Linked DNA regions of Nothobranchius furzeri. The protein of the gene in region 2 interacts with the protein of the main gene of each other region in a biochemical or structural test. Links are inferred from orthologs where the notes say so. Each region holds a gene or a part of one and is shown on either strand. Other genes may lie near its edges. The genes, in order: splicing factor U2AF 65 kDa subunit and prpf40a.

Region 1 (3,562 bases), on a different chromosome or scaffold from region 2:
GTAGAAGCTAGCCATTAGCATTTGCAACTCCACCACACAGCAGAACTCCTCCAGGCTGGTTTTATGTTTGGAGATAAAACATCAACGTTCCAGAGCTAACAGTCAGTTGTAGAGTCACATTGCTGTTATCCAATCAGAGGTGATATGTTCAAATATCAGGAACTAAGAGTCCAAATCCTCCGTCTGAAACTCAACTCTGCTCTGGCTCACTTTGAGTTTCTGAAACTGGAGCTTCAGAGCTTTTTTCCTCAGAGATTAACTCGTTTATACCAGAGACAACAGCAAATGTGTTGCTTAAATGAGTGAATTTGGTCTTAAAATCATTATTTCTTAATATATTTCAGCAAATCACCCTGTATTTAATCAAAACGTGAGTTAAATTTATTTCACTTTTTTCTTTTTGTCAAACAGCCGTTCTCCTCAGCGTGAGAAGAAGAAGAAGATAAAGAAGTACTGGGATGTCCCTCCGCCTGGATTTGAACACATCACTCCCATGCAGTACAAAGCCATGCAGGGTAACAAGTTTGATACATTTATAGTTGGGATGTTATCCATCGCGGTACTGAAACCTCTATGTGATGTAGATATGATGGTAGTGTGGTAAAATGGAAGATTATAACTTTGTGTTTCGTGTTTTTCAGCGGCAGGACAAATTCCAGCCACCGCCCTCCTGCCGACCATGACCCCAGACGGCCTGGCTGTAACCCCCACCCCCGTACCTGTGGTGGGCAGCCAGATGACCCGGCAGGCCCGCCGTCTTTATGTTGGCAACATCCCCTTTGGTATCACAGAGGTGAGAAACAGAAAAGCATATTTCGGTTTGGATAATATCGTTTTAATGACCTTTACTCTTTGTGTGTGTGTGTGCGTGTGCGTGTGTGTGTGTGCGTGTGTGTGTAGGAGTCCATGATGGACTTCTTTAACGCTCAGATGCGTTTAGGTGGTCTTACTCAGGCCCCTGGAAATCCTGTCCTCGCTGTACAGATCAACCAGGACAAGAACTTTGCCTTCCTTGAGGTGAGAAACATCCCGTGATGGTCATTAATGATCCTCAGGAGCAGGGTTAGGGAACCCTGGTCCCGATCCAACACGTTTTAGAGGTTTCCCTGCTTCAACACATCTGATTTTAAACAGCAGGCTATTAACAGGCTTCTGTAGAGGCTGATGAGCTGCTAAACTGGTGAATCCTCTGTGTCGGAGCAGGGAAACCTAAAACGTGTTGGCTGGCGGCTCTCCAGGACCAGGGTTCCCTACTCCTGCTCTGAAGTATTCCTGAACTCTCGTTGGATCTTGTTTGTGTGTTTTTAAATGTTTCTGTTCAGTTTCGTTCAGTGGATGAAACGACACAGGCAATGGCCTTTGATGGCATCATCTTTCAAGGCCAAAGCCTTAAAATCCGTCGTCCGCACGACTACCAGCCACTGCCCGGCATGAGCGAGAACCCCAGTGTCTATGTGCCTGGTACACAGACAATTAATGGTTTTTATCCTTACATTTTGCTACAAGTATACATAAACATTTGATCACTCAATATCCACGTGAGCCTCTTCTCGGGTTCCTCAGACTCGTTCTTGTCCTTGCACATTTTGCAGGAGTGGTGTCCACAGTGGTCCCAGACTCGGCTCACAAGCTCTTTATTGGTGGATTGCCCAATTATCTGAACGATGACCAGGTCGGTGTTGCAGTCTAAGTGCCATCCTGGTGCTTAGCATTCATGTGTGTTTTCTTATTGGTGACATTTTGGTGTTGAAATGAACCGAATGAAATAAAAAGTTGACATTAATCTTGTTTGCTTTAGTTTCCATCTAAACTCGCGTGAACTCTCGTGTTTCAGGTGAAGGAGTTGTTGACGTCGTTTGGCCCTCTGAAGGCCTTTAACCTGGTAAAAGACAGTGCCACAGGCCTATCTAAAGGATATGCCTTCTGTGAATATGTTGATGTCAACCTGAACGATCAGGTAACGGGTCCCAGCAGGTACGTCTGTGGTGGAACCTTTCTGGAAACGGGTCACTGAGCTTTGGCTGTCTGCACAGGCTATCGCTGGACTGAACGGCATGCAGCTCGGAGACAAGAAGCTCCTGGTGCAGAGGGCTAGCGTGGGATCCAAGAACGCCACTCTGGTGAGGCTCCAGCTGCTGGGTGAATGACAGCAGAACGGTGGGAGGCTGGATGTCGGTTCTAAAACGGACCGAGACAGATTGCTGAATAGATCTGCTGCAGCTCCTCGTCTGTTCAGTTCTAACCAGGACAAATATACGTCTTTTCAGCCAAGTCGTGTACTGAATATGAAGCTGTGCGCTTGTGTTTAGGGTGGATCTATGGCGGTATGCAGAAGCCTGAACGTGAAAGTCTTTGTTGTTGTTTTTTCTCCAGACAACTATAAACCAGACCCCGGTGACGCTGCAGGTGCCGGGTTTGAACAGCTCCGTCACTCAGATGGGTGGCCTGCCCACTGAGGTGCTGTGCCTGATGAACATGGTGGCCCCCGAGGAGCTCCTGGACGATGAAGAATATGAGGAGATTGTGGAAGACGTCAGGGAGGAGTGCAGCAAGTACGGCCAAGTGAAAAGCATCGAGATCCCTCGTCCGGTGGACGGCCTGGACATACCTGGGACGGGCAAGGTAGGCAACCTTCAGATTCTGATGTAAAGCGCTTTGATGGATCAGCAAATCATAACCGTGCCTCTTGTTTTCCCTCGCTTCACAGATTTTTGTGGAGTTCACTTCAGTTTTTGATGCCCAGAAGGCCATGCAGGGGCTGACTGGAAGGAAGTTTGCCAACAGGGTGGTGGTAACGAAATACTGCGATCCAGATGCTTATCACCGCCGGGACTTCTGGTAGAGGGGGGACGATGAGAGGGAAAGGGGAGGGAGGGGGGAGGGAGGGAGTGTAGCATGTACTGCCTGTTTCCAAATAGCCCTCGGAGTGATTTTGGCTGAGCAGCATTTCAGGTAGATCTCGGACTGTTAATCGTTTGGCGAACGGCTTTGGTGATGTCCGGTTAATTAAAGGAGATCTACGTGACGTGTTGAGCATTTAGCACCAGTGTGGCAGGGAGGAGGAGAGGAATGGCGTGTGTTTATTTTAAATGTAACACCGGGCTCGGTTTGGGGCGGTAGTCGTGTAGCTGGGTGGGTTGGGATGTGTATGAAATTTGAGAAATGTGTGTAATAACGGGGCCGGGGTGGGTCGAGAATTTTTTTTTTATACTTTGTGAGACATGGATGTTGTTTTTTTGGGTGGGAACAGGGAGCCACGCTTCAAAGGTTTGTATTTAAATGGAGTCGACCTGTTTTAAGTACATTTAGAGAGGATCTGCAGCACGGAGCTACTGGAAAATTCTGATTGAGAAGAGTTGGAAACTAAAAGGAGATGGTGTGATGGGCGTTGTTGTTTGATGATCCAATGTAGATACACAGTAGCTGTAACATCCACTTTGGTTTTGTCACCATCACTAGAAAGGTGTGTGGAGACTCCTCGTGTTCTTGCATCGTGATCAGACCGCTGTCCCTCCAGCACTGTTGTTGTGCGACTAATCTGAACGTCAGCTGTTCTGATTCT
Region 2 (4,270 bases):
GATATGAAGGAAGCAGCAATAAACGTACGGTTGTTCCAGGCGCTGCAGCTGCAAGAATCAAGACAAAATAAATAAAATTCAGATTAACTTTCAATAAATACAAATGAAAAAAATTGATTTGTTAAAATTATTGTGGTTTTTACCTGTGGAGTCAACACCTGGCTGTGGAGAAAAAAAAAACATTTATTTGTGATTTACCAGTGACAGATACAAGAAAATTCACAGATTAGGTTGTTTTTCTTTACAAATATAAATAAAAAATATAAAAGAGTTACTTATACGTGTAAATGTTAGCATCAAACAGACTGCAGGTTATTTATAAGACGTGTGAAGCATCAAACACCCTGCTTTAGGGAAAAAAAAAAAAGAAGAAGAGGAGAAAAAATGGTGATAAAATTACCGGCCCCGTCGGTTGTACAGATGCAGCTGGGATGCGAGGTGGGATCATCATCCCCGGCATCATGGGCGGCATCATGCCTGCCATCTAATAAAAGAAGCGTTGTGAAACACTCATCTGCAACATTTGAAACCAAACTAGTGAAGGTGCCAAGTATTAAGACACAGTGTGAGAACGGGTGTCTGCGTTGTAACTTGGAGGAAAAAGGTGGGACTGGAGCTGAGTGCTTCTCTTATTTAGCTGTGTGAATACTTAGAGACACCAAACTGCATCTCAACTTCTCAAACTGGTGACACCTTTTCCCAAAATAAAAATAAAAATCACATTTTCAGTGTATCATGATCACATGCACTTACCAAAGTGAGCAAAAAAAATGCTTATTTGGTTTTAATTAAAAATAAAAAGGGGAATGAGAATATTGTAGAAGTAATTAGTCAACCAGTTACTTAACTTTGTATTCAGACCATTTTAAGAGTTGATATATTTTGACTTTCTGATTGAATCTGATAGTCTGCATGTTCTCCCTGTGCATGCGTGGGTTCTCTCCGGGCACTCCGGCTTCCTCCCACAGTCCAAAAACATGACTGTTAGGTTAATTGGTCTATCTAAATTGTCCTTAGGTGCGAGTGTGTGTGTGCATGATTGTTTGTCCTGTGTGTCTCTGTGTTGCCCTGCGGTGGACTGGCTCTCTGTCCAGGGTTTACACCACCTGATTGCCCATTGACCGCTGGAGATAGGCACCAGCCCCCCCGCGGCCCAACGTGGACAAAGCAGGTCAGACAATGGATGGATGGATTAAATCTGATTTACATGTAATGGTTGGAACAAAGAAACGATAAAGAACTACAAATGCACAAATATGTAGGCCAAATATATTTTTTAACAAAAACAGAAGTCTACCTGTCCCATTGGTGGTGCAGCCATAGGTGGCATAATGCCAGGGGGCATTATACCAGGTGGCAATGGGGTCATACTGGGTGGTCGCTGGGCCATAGGAGGAATTCCCATGGCAGGGTAGTGAGGCATACCCGGCGGTCCCATCTAGTCATGGAATTACATTACAAGATGTCAGAAAATAATAAATAAATAAATAACAGTTGTTGTAAACATTTTCATAACTTACATATGGGGGAGGTATTGCTGCGGGGGGTACAACTGGATAAGACGCTGCCTGACTCGAGCCAGTACTGTTCTCTGATGAAGACTGTAATAAGAACACCACAAATGTAGTAGAACATTAGCAGTGTGTGCATCATTCATTTACTTTAAAAAAAAAAGTCCAAACTTTTGACAGGATGGCACAATTTGTAATGTAGAAGCCTGAAAGGTCAGAGGCCACTAGAAACAAGTTTCAGTGAGTATTAGGGTCTCGGTTGCAGCAGGGACATTTCTGGGAGCCAGTTTTTTTCCACAGCCATTGCAATGCTTTATGTAAAAACTGCCGCACAGGCTTGAATATCTGCTTTAAAACTTTGATATTGCACCATAGTTAAAAAAAAGTTCCAATTTTTTAGTTGCTGTTTTTAGTGGTAGGTTACAAAAAAATGCTCACTGCCTGTGTGTATTTACCTGTACCTTTGTTAATTTTTTCATTCTCCCTGGTTTTTTTTTTCAATGTATGCGCTGCTGTAACGAGTGAATTTCCCCAATGTGGGATTAATAAAGTCAATTCTATTCTTCATCAACTCATTTGATCCAATTTCTGACTGCTGACAGCAGTTTTATTCATTTTGTACATCCGGCCCTGCTGTTAAAATGTGTTAATATTTTATGTATGGCTAAAATATGATCTAACACACGAATTTAAAGTAAAACAGAGTCATCACATTTCCCATCAACACCAAAGATGTGGGAACAGCTAAAATACTGGATTGCAATTAACAATGTTCCCACTAAATGTGGTTAACTGACATAAACACGGACAGTAAATTGAATTAGTCCGATCTTATCTTAAATTATTAAACGTACACAGCCGTTTCTGCAACGGTGGTTAGGAGTCCTGACAATGATAGCAGCTAGTTTTGATTAAGAATTACTACACTGGCAGGCTTCGTCTAAATCCTGGGAAAATTGTTAAAGGTGAACGGCAAAACTTTAACGAGTTAATAAATGGCCCCTGTTTACACCCCACGCTAGAAACACCGTTAAGAGTGCCTAATGAAGTGACACATTAACAAGTCAAAACATCTCTAGTGTTGCTTGAACTTTAGATTTTGCACTGCAGCTTTTATTCCGGGTGATACACTACGCCATGACATGATATGCGGCTAAACTCAATGCTAACACATACGCTAACCCGTGGTCTACAGCAAAACATCGCTCTCCTTCGCAGCAAAAGTAAAGACGCGGATTTTATAACGAAAAAAATATATATCTCATTCGAACCACCGCTAACTTAAAACGGTATTATCTTTGTTCCAGAACTTTTCTTAAGAGCGGCTACACTCACCATGTTGACGAGGACCTCTGCTAAATCCGAACACCTTTCAGCAACGACCACAGCGATTGGTTCAAGCTGCTCGTGACGAAGGTAGGTCAAATGATGAGCTTCTTTAATGACATCCTGCGTCGAAAATGCGCATCACTGCAAGAGACTGCGCAATCAAGACACGAGCTCGCTTGAGTATCACAAAATAAAATAAACATTAAATAATTTTTTTAAATAAATACATAAAAAAACTTGAAATATCTGGCACCAAGCCAGCCTAAGGCTGTCTATATCCCTATTTATCAGTCTCTATCTCTATATATCAAAGGTGTGACCAAGTCACTGCTTTGCAAGTCACATGTCTTTCCAGTCAAGTCTCAAGTCAAGTTCAAGTGAAAGACAAGTCCAAGTCGAGACCAAAGTCAATAATGTGAAAGTCCAAATCAAGTCCAAGTCCTTATCTTTGAATTTTCAAGTCATAATGAAGTCATCTGTCAAACTTCAATTTAATGACAATGATAATAAATAAATTCCAGAAATAAAGCTTCTGAAAGCTTAATACATTTGCTCAAACAAGCAGAAAGTGCAACTGAAATTGATTATAAACAAAGTGCTGCTGCATTAGCAGTACAAAATCAAACCCAGAACGAAGAATGATTTATGATTTTTGTCCATGTTGTGCCACTTTTGTTCTAAAATATCAAATATGCTCAAGTCATCATCAAGTCAACAGATGCAAGTTGATTCAAGTCGCAAGTCATTGGCGTTCAAGTCCGAGTCAAGTCGTAAGTCTTTATAGATTTTATCAAGTCAAGTCAGAAGGCATTAAAATAAGTCATGTGACTTGAGTCCACACCTCTGCTATATATGTTCATTTATTTGGCAGACGCTTTTATCCAAAGTGACCTACAATTGTAACCTATAGGGTGCTTCACATAAACAAACAAACAAAAAAATCAATTAAAGTATCAAAAAGTTATTAATAATATGCTTAAAATGAGAAAAAATATTACATTTGTGATTAAAGAAAAATAATGTAAGCAAAGGGAGAGAGACAGTGAATAGGGAAGAGGGAAATCAGTAGATCAAGATAAAGTAGATAATGGTGGAATAAGTAAAAAGAGCAAAATAAAGAAAGGGTGGTGAAAAAGGTCACACAAAAGCCAGCTTGAAAAGGTGGGCTTTCAGCTGCTTTTTAAAGGAGTCCACTGATCTCATGCTCAGGGGGAGAGAGTTCCAGAGTCTGGGGGCCACAGCAGCAAATTATCTATCACCTTTGGTCTTTAGCCTGGTGTGCTGCACAACCAGTAGGCTTTGGTCGCTGGACCTCAGGGACCTGCTGGGGGTGTAGGGACTGAGAAGATCACCAATGTGTGATGGTGCTTGTCCATGTAAGGCCCTAAAGACCAGAACCAGGATCTTGAAATGAACCCTGAAGTTGACTG

What was found.
Region 1: the proteins of prpf40a (region 2) and splicing factor U2AF 65 kDa subunit form a complex in vitro, tested with the Homo sapiens proteins (2 studies listed by BioGRID). The link is inferred for Nothobranchius furzeri from reciprocal best matches to the Homo sapiens genes PRPF40A and U2AF2.

What each region holds. Positions count from the first base shown.
Region 1 is NC_091745.1:76,211,651-76,215,212, forward strand, and holds the end of splicing factor U2AF 65 kDa subunit, read left to right. Parts: intron 1-411; coding exon 412-515; intron 516-641; coding exon 642-793; intron 794-900; coding exon 901-1,017; intron 1,018-1,322; coding exon 1,323-1,479; intron 1,480-1,592; coding exon 1,593-1,672; intron 1,673-1,834; coding exon 1,835-1,957; intron 1,958-2,033; coding exon 2,034-2,120; intron 2,121-2,373; coding exon 2,374-2,622; intron 2,623-2,707; coding exon 2,708-2,842; 3' UTR 2,843-2,892; downstream 2,893-3,562. UniProt on the Homo sapiens protein: Plays a role in pre-mRNA splicing and 3'-end processing. By recruiting PRPF19 and the PRP19C/Prp19 complex/NTC/Nineteen complex to the RNA polymerase II C-terminal domain (CTD), and thereby pre-mRNA, may couple transcription to splicing.
Region 2 is NC_091754.1:18,353,234-18,357,503, forward strand, and holds the start of prpf40a (pre-mRNA-processing factor 40 homolog A), read right to left. Parts: upstream 2,946-4,270; 5' UTR 2,850-2,945; coding exon 2,847-2,849; intron 1,602-2,846; coding exon 1,521-1,601; intron 1,439-1,520; coding exon 1,298-1,438; intron 485-1,297; coding exon 401-484; intron 163-400; coding exon 144-162; intron 49-143; coding exon 29-48; intron 1-28.